Elephas maximus indicus: one gene and its partner. The protein of the gene in region 2 purifies or fractionates together with the protein of the main gene of each other region. This does not show direct contact. Links are inferred from orthologs where the notes say so. Each region holds a gene or a part of one and is shown on either strand. Other genes may lie near its edges.

Region 1 (10,246 bases), on a different chromosome or scaffold from region 2:
AATTTCGACTCATACTGCCCCATGTGACAGAGTAGAACTGCCTCATAGAGTTTTCTAGGCTGTAGTCTTCATGGAGGAGCCCTGGTGGCACAGTGGTTAAGTGCTGAGCTGCTAACCAAAAGGTTGGTAATTCAAACGCACCAGCCACTCTGGGGGAGAAAAATGTGGCAGTCTGCTTCTGTAAAGATTTACAGCCTTAGAAACCCTATGGAGCAGTTCTGTTCTGTAGGGTTGCCATGAGTTGGAATCAGCTCAACAGCAGTGGGTTTGGAATCTTCACAGGAGCAAATTGCCAGGTCTTTCTCCTATGGAGCTGCTAGATAGGAATGAACTGCCCTTCTTTCAGTTAGCGGCTAAGCACTTAACCACTTGGGGCGCCAGGACTCCTGAAGACCCTTTGCCATTCATAATTACCAGGTATGACTGTTTAAGACACTGGGACAGTAATACACGTACACAATTAAAAATCCAAACACTCTCATTCTGTGCCCTTGTTATTACAAATCTCTTCCTCCCTGGACCCCAGGCCACCTCCACAAGTGCATCACTGTTTCTTGTATATCCTTCCCAAAACACTGAGACAGATGGACATGTCCTTCTTTCCTATGCTTATTCCAAGCTCATTGTTCTGCCTGGCAGTTGACTAAACTAGGGAAACTTAATAATAAAATTTTAAAGATAGTAATCCATTAAGAAAAAATAAGAGTAATAATAAAAGGGATCCTTATGGGAGAAAATGTTATTAACCACTGGTCTAGGGAGTGTGTCCTGTTTATCTATCCCAGAGGCAACTGCATAGACCATTTTCTTTCCTGAATTTTCTTCCTCTCCTTCCAGGGACTTGGCTGAGAACCAGAGGGGCGCACTTGGCAGAACTAAAGGAATTTAAACAAGCTGACCTGGAAAAGTCTAGAGTGTGGGGAACAGTCCCTGTTTTCTGGGAACCAGATGACTGATGCTCCCTCGTTCCAGGTCATTATCCCACCTAGGCCTGCCCTCCCCTAAGTACCCCATGCAGGATTAAGTCCTCTCCAGTTAAATTTCCACTTACCAGGCTGGATACTGAGGTTGAAGAACAAGTGCCTGTGGAGTGAGCCAGAATTTATAAGGCACTTTCCCCACGTACTATTTGACTCTCACAGAATTCTTACAGAATCCTCAATGTGTGGGTGAGGAAACAGTCTCAGGTTAAATATCTTGCCCAAAGTCACTAGTTTTCCAAATACAAATTTTATGCTCTTTCAACACTAACTGCACCTCAAAAATCATTTGTGGCTTTTAAAAGCAAACAGATAGCTGGTCCTCACCCCAGATCCACTGAATTGCCATCTCTCGGGGATGGGACCAGGGTATCTGTACTTGTAAAAATGCTTCCCAAGTGAACTTGAGAACCATAATTAGGAGTCACTGGTGTCGGACAGGCTACCTTTTCCCCATGTGACAGCCCTGAGAAATGGTCACCCCACCTCTACTGGTCTCCGATGTTCCTCCTAGTTACTTTCTCACAGAAAACCAAAATTCAGCTCCTTGGGGTTAGAAATGAAACCTCATTTGTGTCAGTATTACCCGCTGAATTTGATTCCAGGCCAGTGCACCTCAAGTACAGCCACTGCCATCTGTTGACGGAGGCTTGTGTATTGCTCGTATGCTGAACAAGTTTCAGCATAGCTTCCAGACTAAGATGAACGAGGAAGAAAGGCCTGCTGATCTGAAAACTAGCCAGTGAAAACCCTGTGGATCTCATCCCATTGTGTATGGGGTCACCGTGAGTCGGGGGCCAACCTGAACGGCAACTAACAATAACAGGCACCCAGTATCTCTGCTGCCTTCACACCAGCCTAACTGTACAGTCCTCCCCATTCTCCCCACCTCTACTCCCTGCTCCCCCTCAAGCTCAGAGAATCAGGAAGAAAAGCAGCTCATCCAAAGCCAATATACTGGTTGGCAGAGGCTGGCATCACATTGAAGATGGTCAAGAACAGGGAAATAAATGACTGAGTGGCCAGACATATGTTAATATAGCTCCTGCCAAACTGCAGGTCAGTTAATACATCTCAGCATTCGAACAACACGGGGTTGGTACTTACAGTCTTGTGCTCTGGAGGGATAGCAAGATATATATTAACTCCTCCTGTCTTCAAAATCTAGTGTGGAGACAAAGAGATCCAGGTTGTTAGAATAATAAGAGTCTCATACAACATAATCCAAGAACAAAGCACAGGTAGTCCTTGACTTATGACAGGGTTCCATTCCTACGACTCTGGTAAATCAGTTCTGGCTTAAGTTAAATACCTCTTTTTTTTTCATTATTACCGCCTTTTATCATCAGTATCTTTATAATTCCAATCTACAACACTGTATGTAGTACGTATTACTAATGATTAAAAAAATAAGACGGTCATAAGTGCAGTTTGTCATAACTTGAATACATTATAAGCTGGGGACACCTGTACTGATAAAGTAACAGCTTTGGAGAAAGGGAGTGAAATGGGAAAGCCTCCCTCAGGTGTCTTTTAAGCTATGTTTTGGAGGTCTCTACTACTTATAGGATCAACTACAAACTCCTTAAGGTGATGTTCAAGGCCCTCCACACTCTGGCCCTGTCTCCCCACCAGCTTTTCTCCGTATGTCCCACCATGCACATTACACCCCAACACTGAATCACATACTATTTAATGAGGCCAAGAGTTTCTCACAACCATGCCTTTATTTGAATTATCCCCTCTGCCGGGAATACCACTCCCATCCTCACCCCAGTGACCGCTTTCTTAAACATTTATAGATTATCCACAATGCACCAGGCCATAAAGTATTAAACAGGTAAGTACAGGCACTGACCTCACTGAGCTTAGAGTCTATGAAGAAGACATGTCAAACAGGTAATAATAAATTAGGGAACAACAGAAGCTAAAAGAACGTGTAACAGGCCTAACTTAACTTGCTAGTCCCTGGGTGGCACAAGCAGTTAAGCGCCTAACTACAAACCTAAAGGATGGTGGTTGAAAGCCACCCAGAGACAACACAGAAGACAGTCCTGGTGAGCTGCTTCCAAAAAGTCACAGCCTTGAATATCCTACATAACACAGTTCTACTCTGCACACATGGGGTCGTCAAGCCAGCAACTAACAACTTACTTTAGGGGGTCAGAAGTGACCTTTTACCCTATATCTGAAAAATACCTGCCAAAGGGAGTTAAAAAAAAAAAAAAAACCAAAGGGAGTAAAAAAAAAAACTTACTTTAGAGGGTCAGAAGTGACCTTTTACCCTGTATCTGAAGAATACCTGCCAAAGGGAGTAAAAAAAAAAAAAAAACCAAAGGGAGTAGGAAGTAGAAAATGGTTTTCCAGGGAACAGCATTAAAGGAAATGAAACCACATCACTGTAGCAGAGAAGGTGGAGAAAGTGGTGAGGTATTAGGTAAGGCAGGTAAGAACAGATGGTGAGGACCCCTGCAAGCCTTGCAGTGGGAAGTGACTGTCACGTTTAAAGCAGAGGAACAGCATGACTAGAACGGTGTTACAAGGAGACTTCTGTGATTCAGGGCAAAGGACAGCCTGGAAGCGTACAAGACTAGAAGCAGCAAAGAGGCTATGGGAGTAGGCCAGGTAAGAAATAGGGATGGTGGCCTGCACTGGAGCTGCCGCAGAGTGAATGGTGAGAAATACATGCTAGTTGAAATACGGGGTAAAACCTACTCAACCTACTGATCTACTAAGGAAGGACATAACTCTAACTGAAGGGATGATGGCACCAGTTCTCAATCGCTGAATTCCTAAGAGTTGATCCTCCCGAGTATATGCCGCCACTGTACCTGGTACCTTCCTACTTTATTTGTTGTCGTGGTGTACCGTGGAGCCCATTCCGACTCATAGCGACCCCTGCAGGACAGCGCAGAACTGCCCCGTAGGGTTTCCAAGACTACTCTTTATGGAAGGCCACTGCCCCATCTTTCTCCTGCAGAACGAGAGAGGCTGGTGGGTTAGAACTGCTGACCTTTCGGCTAGCAGCCCAACGCTTAGCCACTGCGCCACCAGGGCTCCTTACTTTACCACTTAGCATAAGGAACTGTAATTATTTTTTTGTCGTCTCTATTTCCAAACTGTGTAGGACTGAAAGGCTAGGGTCGCGTTTTATCTTTCCATTCCTAGTATCCAACAGATCCTCCACACAGGTTTGGGGGGAGATATTCCAGGCAGAGTGAGGATAGCTCGCCCCGGGCGAGAGAAGCCAGTCCGGGAAGGCGGGCGGGCGCAGCGGCGGCGCGACGGGCGTCCGAGAAAGCCGTAGACACTTTGCGTGTCAGCTGGGGGTGGGCACAAGCTCGATCCCACCCTAGACCGGCCCTCTTACCTCCTCTCCGTGCCCCTTCCCCAGCGCCAAATCAAGATGGCGACAGCGCGGCCACCGGCTCGCGAGGGCTGCGGCTACAAACTGGCCGCGATGCGTGTGCACAAAGCGCTCGCCTTTTCTCAGGCCCCGCCTTACAAATGGGGCGCTGCAGAATCGCTAAAATAATCTTCGAATTTCATTACCCTGAGTTAAACCACTCCCAATGGGGAAAGTAGGTCCAAAGAGCAGCGTGACGCGGAAGCGACAAAGCGAAAGGCAGCCTACAAACGCCTGAAAGTCGGCCCGGCGGTGAAACCTCCCGGCCGTGCCTTGAACCGGCAGTGCGCAGGCGCGATATTTGTCTCGCGATACCCTCCGGTTGCTACGGTAACGTAATCGCCGTCTCGACTGCTCTGTGGCTTTTGAGTGAATGTTTTTATGGATGAAAGTCCCTCAGGGCATCTTTTGTCGCCTTGGCACCTTCTTTCTTCTAACCCAAGTTCTACCTGAAACCCAGTGCCGTCGAGTCGATTCCGACTCATAGCGACCCTATAGAACAGAGTAGACCTGCCCCATAGAGTTTCCAGGGAGCGCCTGGCAGATTCGAACTTTACAGCGCCCATAAATCTGAGCGCACTATCTCTTCTCGCTTTTCTGTATTTGTCTTGCCTAGGCTTGCCTCAGAGACGGAGGGTAGCCCTGGTGACTCAGTGGTTAAAGCCGTAGGCTGCTCCAGGGGAGAAAGATATGGCCGTCTGCTTTGGTAAATAAAGATTACAGCCTTGCAAGCCCTATGAGACTTCTGTCCGACAGGATCAATATAGGGTCGCTTTTTTATGAATAGGTGGGTTTATGAATAGGAATCAACTCGATGGCAACGGGTTTGTTTTTGCAAGAGATGTGATGAGTCCTGGTGGCGCAGTAGTTAAGCGCTCTGCGGCTATTGGCGGTTCCAACCCACCAGAGCCCATCAGCCTCTGGAGGAGAAAGATGTAACAGTCTGCTGCGGTAAAGATTTACAGCCTGGAAAACCCTATCGGGCAGTTCTACTCTGTCCTGTAGGGTCCCTATGAGTGGGAATGGACGCGACACCCAAAACCCCAGTCCTTGCCTGTCCCACTGAGCCAGTCTCCATCGAATCCCTGCCTAATCCCTGTGAACAAGAAAAGCAAGATAAATTGAGGAGGTGGTTTACAGATAACAATGTGGAGAATCTTGAGCCACCTTAAAGAGAGGAGAATAAGGGCTGCTCTGAGTAATTGAAAGGCAGTTCAGAATATTCCTCCCAATGTTCACTGTGGCTGCTCCAACCAACAGAGAACTCAGCGGTCAGGAATGGAGTCGCTGGGAAGTCAGGAATTGGTAAAACAGCTGATTAACACTTTAACGGTCAGTGATCAGAACCTCTTGATCTACCCTTCGCTAGAACGTAGAAGACAGTAGGTTGCTTCTGGCCTAAAAAGCTTCTATACCCCTTCTTTTTCTGTTCCGCTCTAATTTGGGCCCCTTCCTTTTCCTGTTCTATATATCCTGCTCCTTTCTTCAATCTCTTTGTCGCAGGGCAAGGTTTCCCAGCTTGGAATCAAGTCCTGCCTAGGTTCTTGCCTTCTACTGACCGTGAGTGACCAGGAGAGGCTCAGAGGTTCCACATGAATAAAGGTTTATTAGTGACAGAAAGCAGAGGCTCGCGAGCGAGGAGGGGAGAGGAGCTTCTGCCTATGCTAGCCTCCAGTCTCTCCCTGAACGGAGGTTTTCCTGGAGTTATAAAGGGCTTTAGGCAGAAAGGAGCTCATGTTTTATTCATTGCTTTGGGGGGGGGGAAGGCGGGGCTTTCTGAGAAATAACCCAAACCCAGTGCCGTCGAGCGACCCTCTAGGACAAATAGGTTAAGAAATTAGGTGGGTGCGCATCTGGAATCCACGGTGGAGTCAGTTTGGACGATGTCACATCACCACTGCACAGTCTCGGTGGCCACTTGACAAGGCTGTAAGGTTGTACCCATTTTCACTGTGCATGCCCTGGGGATTGGCTGATTCTGTTCATCTTTGGAAAACAGTTTGTAGGGAAAGTACGTAGAACTTCATGAGAGTCCCGGAAGTGGGTTATCTTGTAACATCATCCCCTATAGTAAACCCGTTGCTATCGAGTAGATACCGACTCATAGCAACCCTAAAGGACAGAGTAGAACTGACCGGTAGGGTTTCCAAGGAGTGCCTGGTGGATTCGAACTGCCAACCTTTTGGTTAGCAGCTGTACGTCTTAACCACTATACCACCCTATGGTAGAGTCCTGAAAAACTTACAAGAGCGATATGCAGGATGCCACTCCTATGTTGGGGTCCTGAAAAACAATTTGAGAGAGAGATGTAAGATGCCACTCCTATAGTGGGGTCTTGAAAAACGAGAGAGATATGTAAGACTTTGTGCGTCACGGGCTGCATGTGTAGGTTCTCTTGTAACATCACCCACAGGATAGAGTCCCAGATCAACGGGCCTGTTATTCTGGTCTTGAGGCTCTCCAGCCTTCTGTCCCTGCCTCATCTTCACTACTCTTTTTTGGTCTAGTTTCTATATTTTTAATTCTCACAACCCGCATAGTAAAATGGAGCCCTTACAACACAGTGGTTAAAAGCCTGGCTACTGACAAAGGGCTGCAGTTCCACCACCAGCAGCTCCTTGGAAACCCTATGGGGTGGTTCTACTCTATCCTATAGGGTCACTTTGAGTCAGAATCCACTCCCTTGCAATGGGTTAGGAAGGTTTTTTGTTTGTTTGTTTTTTGGTTTACATAGTACTTGGAGTCCCTAGGTGGTGCAAACGGTTAATGAAAGAAGAACACCCCCACATTTACTTCCAAAGAAAATAAATCAGCCATTGAAAACCCAAAGGAGTACAGTTCTCTTCTAACTCATGTGGAACGGCCATGAGTCAGAGTGAACTTGAACTTGATGGCAGCTAGGTTTTTTTTATGTAGTACGTAACTGGCCATAAAGTAAACAGAAAAATAAAACCAAAACTTGTGTTGCCTTTGGTCAAAGATTATTGCAGGATACACAGGGTAGAGTACAATGTGATTTTTAACACAATTAGATTGAAAAGATCAAAGTTACAAGTTTGAGCATAACAACAGGCTTTTGTTTCATAAAGTGACTCATGTTAGTTCATTGTTATGATAAACTACAAACATCATGCAGTTCTAAAGTAGCCTCAGCTTTTAAACTGTAAGACAAATAGAGATGCAGAGATCTAATTGGAATGTTAGTGTAATAGGAAGGAAATAGGTATGCAGTTATCCCCCTTAAGGTTCCAGACTGATAGTTTATCATCTCAGTTTACAGTTGCTCCATGAAGATCACCTGTTGCTGCTGAGTCGATCCTGACTCACAGCAACCCTATAGGACAAAGTAGAACTGCCCCCATAGGGTTTCCAAGGCTATATATACTCTTTACAGGAGTAGACTGCCACATCTTCCCCCCGCCCCACCCCGCCAAAGTGGCTGGTGGGTTTGAACTGCTGACCTTTCAGTTATCAGCCAAGTGCTTAACTATTTGAGCCACCCAGGGACTGTGTTAAATCTTACTGGCCTTTTAAATCCAAAAGTTTGGTAGCTACTGCATGGCACTGCCCCTACTGTGAGCCATTGAAAGAAGCTACAGAAAGGCGTACAGATCTTCCCCCTCCTCTGTGTTAAGATCTTACTGCCTTAATACACAGTGTGGTGGTTAACCATGCAGACCCCAGAGGCAGACTGCATCGGGTCAGATTCTGGCCCTGTCACTGGGCCCAGCCACAGTCTCTGATTCAGAACGTCAGGAGTGGAGCCAAGGCTGCATTAGATGCTGCTGCTGCTGCTGGGTCCAGGAGCACATTTTGAGAACTGCCCCATAGAGTTCCCACAGCTGTAAATCTTTACAGAAGCAGACTGTTGCGTCTTTCTCCCGCGGAGTGGCTGGTGGGTTCAAACTGCAGACCTTTTGGTTAGCAGCGGAGTGCTTAACTACTGCACTACTAGGGCTCCTTCCATGAAAATTACCAGCTCTTGTATTCCATGGCTGTGGAGCTAGCCTGCCTAGGCTGAAATCCTAACTTCACCACTGACTAGGCATATGACCCTAGGCAAATTAATTAACCTCCTCTGTGAAGTGATAAAAATAATACGTGCTGTGAGGATTAGAAGAGGTAATTTATGTAAGATCCTTAGCACGGCTCCTGGAAGAGTTCCTGCTTGATATATACAGCTGTGACGATGAATCCAGTGACAACCTTCCAAGAATTCAGTCAATAAAAAATTCACTATGGCTTCTCTGCTTTTATTGCTTGTCTATTTTAAGACTGGCAATAAAGTTAACTAAAGTGAACAGTTATAATTCAGATAATATTTTCTACCATTTGTAGTGTACAAACATTACAACAAAAAAGTTTTATCTTTAAATTCTCACATGATTCAATCACCTCAAAACACATTTTCTTTCAGTGTTCCCTTCTAGTTGATTTCACATTTATGTGTTTTTACAGTCTTAATATAGATTAAAGTTTATATTATTTTTCTTTCTATATAACGTTTTCCATGATTCTCAAAATAGTCTTTAAAGTATCACTTCAGGGAATGCAAACTGGTACAACCATTTGGAAAATGATATGGCACTTCCTTAAAAAGTTAGAGATAGAAATATCCTATGGTCCAGCAATGCCACTCCTAGGAATATATCCTAGAGAAATAAGAGCCGTCACACCAATAGATATATGCACACCCATGTTCATTGCAGCATTATTCACAATAGCAAAAAGATGGAAACAACCTAAGCGCTCATCAAGGAATGGATAAACAAACTATGCTACATACACACAGTGGAATACTAGGCAACGGTAAAGAACAACGATGAATCTGTGAAACATCTCACAACATGGATGAATCTAGAGGGCATTATGCTGAATGAAATAAGTCAATCACAAAAGGAGAAATATTATATGAGATTACTATTATAAAAACTCATGAAAGAGTTTACACACAGAAAGAAACAATCTTTGATGGTTGTGAGGGGTTGTGATGGGTGAGGAGGGGAAAACACTAAATAGACAATAGGTAAGTGGCAACTTTGATGAAGGGTAAGACGGTACACAATACTGGGGAAGCCAGCACAACTTGACCAAGGCAAGGTTATAGAAGTGTCGTAGACACATCCAAACTCTGAGGGGCCAAATTACTGGGCTGAGTCCTGGGGGCCATGGTCTTGGGGAACATCTAGCTCAATTGCCATAACATAGTTTATAAAGAAGATGTCCTACATCCTACTTTGGTGAGTAGCATCTGGGGTCTTAAAAGCTTGTGAGTGGCCATCTAAGATATTCCACTGGTCCCACCCCATCTGGAGCAAGGGAGAATGAAGAAAACCAAAGACACAAGGAAAAGATTACTCTAAAGGACTAATGGGCCTCAACCACCACCACCTCCACCAGACTGAGTCCAGAACAACTAGATGGTGCCCGGCTACCACCACGGACTGCTCTGACAGGGATCATGGTAGAGGGTCCCGGACAGAGCTGGAGAAAAATGTAGAACAAAATTCTAATTCACAAAGAAAAAAAAGACCAGACTTACTGGTCTGACAGAACCTGGAGAAACCCTGAGAGTATGGCCACTGGACACCCTTTTAACTCAGTACTGACGTCATTCCGAGGTTCACCCTTCAGCCAAAGATTAGACAGGTCCGGAAAACAAGACTAACTTGGCACACCAACCCAGGGGCAAGGGCAAGAAGGCAGGAGGGGACAGGAAAGCTGGCAATGGAGAACCTAAGGTCAAGAAAGAGAGTGTTGACACGTCATGAGGCTGGCAACCAATGTTACAAAATAGCATGTATATTAATTGTTTAATGAGAAACTAATTTGTTCTATAAACCTTCATCTAAAGCACAGT
Region 2 (9,284 bases):
GATTCTAACTCATAGCAACCCTATAGGGCAGAGTAGAACTGCCCCACAGAGTTTCCAAGGAGTGCCTGGTGAATTTGAACTGCCGACCTTTTGGTTAGCTGCCTTAGCACTTAACCACTATGCCACCAGGGTTTCCATTGGGTCCTCAATAAACGCTTACGGATGGCAAGCAAATGTCTATACTCTCCTCCAACCTAAGAATTTGGATTTGAGTTCTGGCCTCTGGCGATCAGTTTCTGAAGTAGGAGGTCATTTCCCACTCATTGTGGGGTCTGCAACTGTTGAGTAAAAAGAAGGGCGGGGAACTGCATTTGGACACAACCCTTACCTCCATCCCCTTCCTCTGTGTCCCCAAGCTTTGATGGAAGTCACTTCAGAGAACCAGTAGACCGGAGAGGAACAGAGGCTGCAGTGGGCCTCCCTACAGAGAAGCGGGATTCCCTGCCCTCCCACCTCACATGGACTGCAGGGGATCAGAGACCCTTCCCACACCCCCTACCCACCCCCACATAGTATAGGGTGAAACCCAGACCCTCTCTTCCAGTGGCAACATCTAGTGGCTGTTTTTGCAGACCTGCCACTGAGGGAAGCCCCACTGGCAAGCAGTGAGTGAACATGGAGTAGAAACAACAAAAACTCTGGGAGAGGGAGCTGCCAAAACAAACCAAATGCAAAAGGGCTGCTTGCCACCACCTCAGCTGGGCCCAGGCCAGGAGCACAGACAGACAAGAACACATACGTGCAAAGAGACACATAGTTCCACCCGGCTCCCTGCTGAATCCCCACTCTGCTACTGGGGGGCTCCAAAGCAAGGGAGCCCTGCAGTCAAGGCTGATGCGGGGGGAGGAGGTGGCCTCATAGAGATCTCTCCAGCCTTGTCTCCCTCAAGCGTCCCCAGTGCCTCCTGCTTTCTAGCCACCCTGAGTGTCCTTTCAGTCCCAGAAAACATCCTGAACCCTCACGTTTGTGCATGCTGATTCCTCTGCCAGATATGCCCTCTCCCTTCTCTGCCTGGCGAACTCCTATTCATCCTTCAATACTCAGGTCAAAGGTGAAATGTGGACCCCACTAGGCAGGTGGCTGTTTCCTTCTCGGTATTTCTACATCATGGCTACCTGTACTTTTTATATTACACACTTCACTCATTCACAAAAATTGTGTGTCCATCTTCCCTATTAGATGGTGAGCTCCTTGAAGGCAGGGATCATGCCATCTTATACTCATCTTTGTATCCCAGACCCCAGCTCACGCCTTGTTCACAGCTGGCACTCACCATGGGTTCAGCTGTATGAATGAAGCACTGGTCCTTCTGCAGAGTCTGCTTTCCCAAGTTGCTGGCAGTCACAGACCCCACATGAAAGTCCCTCATCAACAGTAATACACAAGGCAGAGGAGTAAAGGTGAAAAATTAGGAGCCTGATCTTCAGACTTCAGAACCAAACTACCTCCAAGAACACTAGAGTTAATACACCATTACTAACCTTTAGATCAGAGTTGTCAAGCTCTTATGACCTTAATCAACAGTAAAAACAATTTACATCATGACTAGTACACATATGTACTTATAAACATACGCAGATGCAACTGAAAAAGCTGCATCAAAACACCACTTGCCCTTTTCATTTCTTTAAATAGGCTGTGATCCAGTAAATCTATTTCAAGACCCACAAATGGGTCACTGCTCAGTTTAATAAACATTGCTTTAGATGACTCTTGTTTGATAAATGTGAAAAATCAGAGGACTCCAGAAATAGCCAAACAAAAAAGTATTTACTACCTGTGTGCCCAGTAATTATTTTGGGGGGGAAGGGTGGGGGAGGTTCCCTTTCTTCTACCGTAGCCCAGAAGGGCCTGACAGGCTCTAGACCACAGCTGCTCAGAATATGGGCCCTACAGCTCCAGGAACTAAATGAAGCAGTTGGTCCTTCCCCACCAGAGCCTGGCACAAAGAAGGCCCCAACAGTCTTAACATTGCCTCCTTCATCCTTAAACCCTTTTCTGTGCTTGGGAACCATGATCATATCACCAGAGAGGAGTGGCCAAATGCTTCCCAAGCATACAACCATCCCAGCTGCATTTCAGTGGGTGAGCATATGCTTCCTCCTGGCCTTCCTGGAAGGAGGAAAAATCTTAAAGCAAACATTGGGATTGCCAGGCTGCTGCATCTTGTACTAGTCTGTTTTATGTTACACGGTCGCTAATACAATTTATGCTTTCTGTGAAGGCAGGGACCATCTGGGTTTGCCTTCTGTGGCTAAACCCTCGTAAAGTTTCCTGCTCTTCCCTTCCAGGTACTCACAGGGAAGAGGCAGTAGCAGTGGGGTGGCAGGACACTAACACAACTTGGTACATTTTATTGTGTCAGATAATGGTTTACAGACCACAGAGACTCAAGATAACACCCTGCAGGAGCCCAACAAGAGACCACGCCCTCCCTCTCAATTCAGTCCTTTGGGCTGTGAGGGACTAGGCCTTTTCTGGAGGTCCATGACAGTACTCGGTACAAGGAGGGTCACATCTGAGCCTGGCTGTAGAGGTGGTGGGTGGATACGAGGTCCACCTTCCCTTCTGTTACTTGGGTGTGACCCTGAAGACACGGATATGGATGGCTGAGTTGTTGCGGATGCGGACTAGCGGTTCGCGTGTATCAGTTTCTGGTTCCAGCTCATCCACAAGCTCCACGGTGGAGGTATTGGCGGCCACCTCCAAGGACCCGAAGCTGCCTGCCTGCAGCTGCAGCGCAATGTTGATGGCGCGATTGATGGCTAGGCCTAAGCCGTGGATATACAGCTCATTGCAAGCGTTCTGACCCCGTGTCCCTCCGTTCAGCAGCTTCTGGCAGCGGGCCAATTGGGCCTTGAAATCAGTCTTCATGTTGACGTAGATGTCATTGGGCCTCCGGGGCAGGCGGTGGGGAAGCCGCTTCCGAAGGGTGTACTCCACTGGGTCCAGCTCCACCTCGACGGCTCCTCGGTTTTCTGCCATCTGTGTGCCCTGGCACGGGAAAGGGGCGGGATCAGAGATGGGTCACCAGCAGCTACGAAGCCGTTCCTACCCCGAGGATGCACCCGGGAGAGGCGCACATGACGTCCCTTTCCCTCCAGCCTCAGTCCCCTCCCACTTACCACAAGCTCCTGTAACCCCCCCACCCCCAGTTCTTATTCATTCATTACATCGCCCCAACCTCACGCCCCTCCAACGTTCCCCTTCCCCGGCTCTTCCGCGCCTACTCTCTTCGTTCCACAGTACCCTCCAAGCATACGCTGCCCGCTCTCAGCCGGGCCACTCAAAGGTTACGCCGACCCGCCCAAGTAGAGGGCGCTGCCCGCAACACGCAAGCCGCAAAGAAACGAAGAGAAGGGAAGAGGCGCGCAACACGCACGCCAGGTGGCAGGCGCCCCGTCGGCAAAGGGCTGCGCAGTGCGCATGTGCCCCCGGCCCCCGCGCGCGGCAGGCCAGCGAATCCACGAATCCTCTTCTCTCTCTCTCCCGTCTCCCCGCCCCTTTTCTGGCTATCGCGGGATGTGTTTGAGTAACGCGAGGCTTCCGGGGGGGAGATGGGATCTACCACGTGTACACTTCGAAGGCGGGGCGGGGAGGGAAGGGGAGTGTCCCAAGACTAAGCGGGGGCGGGACTAGAAGGGGGAGGGCCAGCTTCTCCAGGCGAGACTACACTCCCGGTTCAGCAGGGGTCCCAACCGGGGGCAGAGGAGAGACGAGGGGATTTTAGGAGCGCGGAGGGTGGGTTTCTTCCCAAAGATCGCAGGGAGGGGGGTGAGTACAGGAGAATGTGGTTGTGAAAGCGCCTGAAGGCAAGTCGGGGCAGTCCGATGTGGGCAGAGTTGGCAGAGCTGACCTCCGATCCAAGGTCCGCTATGGCCCAAAGACGGGCGGTGGGGGTGGGGGGGATTTAGAGTCAAAGCCAGGTCCCTACCTGGCCGGAGGACACCGGCCCGGAACTACCCCTAGGATTCATGGGTACCTGTTCCTCTTCGTTATTTTTGTCGGGCTGACTCCCAGGCCAGTCCTTGGGGCCCCAAGCTGAAAGCCGTAAGCCAAGGCTTCACTCCGATCTGGTCTTCGAATTCGGAGGGGTCAGGACGGTTCCCCGGGGGCACGCTGACCCACCCACATCCCTTAACCACCGCCCACTGGCTCTTTGCTGCCTGCGACTGGGGAGCAAGGATGTGCGCCCCCTGGCGGAGGAGGTGGGAAGCAGCGCGGGGGATTCTTGGCTCCCCAAGGCCAGTGGGAAGGGTTTTCTGTCCCTGGGGGTGGTTTCTCTGCCCAGATCAGTGTAGTTTCTGGAGCGTTCTCAGCAGAAAGAGCGCTGATATTGGGTTAGACCTGCACTGAGCACCCTGAATGGAGCTCTGCTTGAATTCCCCATCACCGAAATGGGAGTGATAATTCCTGTCCTGCCATTGAGTTGCTCCAAAACTCAGTATAACTTTGAAAACTGTAAGCATACACATGTGAGTTAGCATTTTTGACCCCCAGCCCCTCTCTGTTTGCTCAGGATGGTGTCAACCCCCATTTGACCAGATGTTGGAAAGAGGTCAAATTCCTGAAAACTTTGTTCCCAGCACTCTTTCAATTCTGTAATTCTCCTTTTGGTTCAGATTCTTTTGCTAACCACAAACTTGGAGTTTATGCAGTGGGGAGAGCTGGGAGGAAAGGTTGGCTCCAGAACTTATGCTCTTGGCTACAACACTATTCTGCCTCAGAAGTAACATCCCAACAGGGTTTTGATGGATAAGTAGGAGTTCAGGCAACCAAGGAGTTTAAGTGCATTCAGGAAACACTGAACAGCATTTTAAGAACAGTGGAAGCATAATCTAAGGTTCCACGTCAAGAAACTAGAAAACTAAAGTCAAAGCAAGAAGATAGAAATAATAAAGATAAGAGCATAGTGACATAGAAAACAGAAAATAGACAAAATCAACCCAAAATCTGGTCCATTGAAAAGATAAGGAATATTGATAAACCTCTAGCAAAACCAATCAAAAAAAAAAAAAAAAAGAGAAGCCACAAATTATGATCAGAATTGAAAGAGGAAGATAGTACTAAAGTTCTCTTAGCCATTAAAAGGATACTAAGGAAATAAGGAGGAAACCCTGGTGGCATAGTGGTTAAGTGCTACGGCTGCTAACCAAAGGGTCGGCAGTTCGAATCCACCAAGCGCTCCTTGGAAACTCTACGGGGCAGTTCTACTCTGTCCTATACGGTTGCTATGAGTCGGAATCGACTCAATGGCACTGGGTAAGGAAATAAGGAGCTCTGGCAGCACAGTGGTTAAAGCACTCAGTTGCTAATCAAAAGGTCAGTGGTTGGAACTCACCAGCTGCCCCGTGGCCTTGGAAACCCAATGGGGCAGCTCTGCTCTGTCTGACAGGGTTGCTAGAAGTTGAAATTGACTCCACAGCAATGGGTTAAGGGAATACACCCACTCCTCACTTGCTGACCTGGATGGGTTCCAAAGACCGGGTCGTTATTGCAAAAATAGGCATTACTTGAAAATGGAGGCAGACTACATCATTATGTAACTGCTAAGTTACATCATTACATAATTATCAAACCACTGAGAAGCATGCGTGGCCCAGCCAAGTTGACTCATGACCATCACAGGCAGTATTAGTCTCGCCTTGTACTTCACATTCGTTACTGCCAGATGTACATCCTTAATGTGCAAAATAGATAGATTTTTTACTATTATCATAAAAGCAAAGTGTTGGATAATGACATAGTCGATACTAAGGAGTTGGTGTAATATAAACAATTCTCCGAACACAAATTGAACAACTTATATGAAACGGTCCAATTTTTAGAAAACCACAAACTACCAAAACTCATCCAAGATAAAACAGATAATCTGAACAGTCCTATAACTATTAATTAAATCCATAGTTAAAAACCCTCAGAAAAAGAAATACCAAGGCACAGATGGTTTCACTGGTGAATTCTACCAAAAGAAGAAATAACATAAATTCCGCACAATCTCTGCCAGAAAATAGAAGAGGTGGGAACACTTGCCAACTCATTTTATGAAGCCAAACCAGACAAAGAGTACAAAAAAAGAAAACTACAAACTGATATCTCTCATGAACAAAGACACAAAAATCTTCAACAACATGTTAGCAAATCAAATCTAGCAATATATAAAAAGAGCTATACGCACCACTGGAACCCCTGGTGGCATAGTGGTTAAGTGCTACAGCTACTAACCAAAGGGCCAGCAGTTCGAATCTGCCAGGTGCTCCTTGGAAGCTCTATGGGCCAGTTCTACTCTGTCCTATAGGGTCGCTATGAGTCAGAATTGACTCCACGGTACTGGGTTTGGTTTTTGGATACACACCACCAAGTGGGGTTTATTCCAGGAATGCAAGACTGGTTCAATATAAGAAACTAAATCAATTTAATTCACCATGTTAACAGGCTAAGGAAGAAAAACCACATGATTATATCAGTTGTTACAGAAAAACCATTTAACAAAACTCAGCACCCGTTCGTGGTAAAAACTCTCAGCAAACAAGCAACAAAAGGAATTTCGCCAGCCTGGTAAAGAGCATTGACAAAGTTAACATCATGCTAATAATGAAAGACTGAAAGCTTTTCTCTTAAAATCAGAAACAAGGCAAGGATGTTTTCTCTTACTACTCTTAACCAACATAGTGTTGGAAGTCCTAGCAGTGCAATAAGGCAAGAAAAGGATACAGATTGGAAAGAAAGAAATGAAACTGAATCTATTTGCTTATGACATGATTGTATACATTAAAAAATTCTAAGGAATCCACCAAAAGAAAAACTCCTAGAACTGGTAAATGATTATAGCAAGTTCACAGGATCCAAGATCAACTACAAAATCAATTGAATTTGTATACATCAGCAATGAACAATTGGAAACTGAAATAAAACAATACAATTTACAATCACTCCAAAAGAAGAAGGAGGAAGAGGAGGAGAAATACTTAGGTATAAGACTAACAAAACATGTACAACATCTGTATGCTGAAAACTACAAGACACTGATGAAAGAAAAAAGATCTAATTAAAGGAAGAGGTATGTCATATCTATGTATTGGAAGACACAACATAGTAAAGACACTGATTCTTCCAAGCTGATCTGTAGATTTAATGCAATTCCTATAAAAATTCCTGCAAGAGTTTTTGTAGGTATAGACAAGCTTATTTAAAATTTTACATGGAAAGGCAAGGAAGTAAAATAGCTAAAACAATTTTGAAAAACAAAGTTGTTGTACTCACACTACTTGATTTTAAGACTTACTATATAAACACAATAATCAAGACAGAGTAGTGGGATAGAAAGAAACATCCGTGGAACCAAATAGAGAACCCAGAAACAGACTTATACAAGTACAGCCATCTGATTGTTGACAATGGTGCAAAAGCAACTCAATGGAGGAAGGATAGTCTTTTCAACAAATGGGGCTGAAGCAACTGGACATCTATAGCAAAGAACTGAACCTCGACCCTATACAAAAATTAACAAAAAAGTGGTAGTATATCTAAATATAAAACTTAAAAGTATAAAATTTGCAGGAAAAAGCATAGGGGAAAAAAATCTTCATGACCTAGGCTCAGGCTAAGAGTTCTTAGACATGATACCAAAAGTTTTTTTTTTTTTCTTTTTCATAGAAGCAAAAAGTTGGTAAGTTGTACTTTATCAAAACTAAATCATATGCTCTGTGAAAGACCACATTAACAGGATGAAGAGACAAACCACAGACTAGAAGAAAACACTCACAAATCACGTATCTGACAAAGGACTTGTACCCAGAATATATAAAGAACTTTCTAAACCCAAGAGTAAGAAAACAAACAATCCACCAGAGATGTGAAAGACTTATACAATGAAAATTATAAAACACTGCTGAAAGAGGTTAAAGAAGATTTAAACAAACGGGAAGTTGTTCCATGTTCATGGATTGGAAGACTTAATATTATTAAGATGTCAATACTACCTGTGATGGTTACTCTTATGTGCCAACTTGGCTAGGCTATTATTTTCAGTGGTTTGGCAGATACTGTGTACTGTAATCACTTTCCACTCTGTGATCTGATGTGAGCAGCCGATCAGTTGAAAGGGGAGTTTACCTGGGGGTGTGGCCTGCCTCCACTATATAAATGGACTTCTGGTAAAACTGTCTGTCTCTCAATCCTGCACTCTTCTCATTGCCTGACCTCCGGTTCTTGGGATGTAAGCCTTAAGAAGTCTCTGGCCTCCTAGCCAAAGCAGTAAGACAAGAAAAACAAATAAAAGGTATCCAGATTGGAAAAGAAGAAGTAAAATTATCTCTGTTTGCAAATGATATGATCCTATATATAGAAAATCCCTATGAGTCCGCAAGAAAACTTCTAGAGCTAACAGAGGAATTTAGCAGAATTGCACGGTACAAGGTCAACAAACATAAATCAGTGGGGTTTCCATCCACCAGCAATGAGAAATCTGAAAGGTAAATTAGGGAAACAATTCCATTTACAATAACATTTAAGAGAATAACTAGAAATAAATTTAATCAGGGATGTGAATGATTTATACAAAGAGAAGTATAAAACACTGCTGAAAGAGGTTAAAGAAGACTTAAATAAATGGAAAGATGTTCCATGTTCACGGATTGCAAGACTTAATATTTTCAGATGTCAATACTACCCAAAGTGATCTATGCGTTCAACATAATCCCGATCAAAATTCCAACAGCCTTCTTTACAGAAATGGAAAACCAACCCTGAACTTTATGTGGAATAGCAAGAGGCCCCAAATAGTGAAAGCAATGTTGCAAGAGATGAACAAAGTATGAGGACTCACACTTCCTGATTTTAAAACTTTTCTATACAGCTACAGTAATCAAAAAAGTCTGGTACTGGTATAATGATAGGCACGTAGACAAATGGAATAGAATTGAGAGTCTAGAAATAAACTCACACATTTATGGTCAACTGATTTTTAACGAGGGTGCTAAGTCCATTCAATGGGAGAAAGAAGAGTCTCTTTAATAAATGGCACTGGGAAAATTGGATTTCCACACGCAGAAAAATGAAACAGGATATGTTTCACACCATATGCAAAAAGAAATTCAAAATGGAATAAACTAAATGTACAAACTAAAACCATAAAATTCTCAGAAGAAAATGTAGGGGTGATGCTGTTGGGCCTAGCTTTTAACAACGGACTATCTAATAGCAAAAGCACAAACAGCAAAAGACAAAATAAATAAATGGAATCTCATACAAATGAAAAACTTTTGTTCATCAAAAGGCTTTAC

The links.
Region 1: the proteins of POP7 (region 2) and RPP38 purify together in Homo sapiens (co-immunoprecipitation; 3 studies listed by BioGRID and IntAct, with this or other methods). This does not show direct contact. The link is inferred for Elephas maximus indicus from reciprocal best matches to the Homo sapiens genes POP7 and RPP38.

What each region holds. Positions count from the first base shown.
Region 1 is NC_064822.1:42,038,543-42,048,788, forward strand, and holds the start of RPP38 (ribonuclease P protein subunit p38), read right to left. Parts: upstream 4,664-10,246; 5' UTR 4,533-4,663; exon of another isoform or gene 3,238-4,532; intron 2,145-3,237; 5' UTR 2,088-2,144; intron 1-2,087. UniProt on the Homo sapiens protein: Component of ribonuclease P, a ribonucleoprotein complex that generates mature tRNA molecules by cleaving their 5'-ends. Also a component of the MRP ribonuclease complex, which cleaves pre-rRNA sequences.
Region 2 is NC_064830.1:92,105,213-92,114,496, reverse strand, and holds POP7 (ribonuclease P protein subunit p20), read right to left. Parts: upstream 3,430-9,284; 5' UTR 3,261-3,429; coding exon 3,231-3,260; exon of another isoform or gene 3,185-3,230; intron 2,995-3,184; coding exon 2,572-2,994; 3' UTR 2,324-2,571; downstream 1-2,323. UniProt on the Homo sapiens protein: Component of ribonuclease P, a ribonucleoprotein complex that generates mature tRNA molecules by cleaving their 5'-ends. Also a component of the MRP ribonuclease complex, which cleaves pre-rRNA sequences.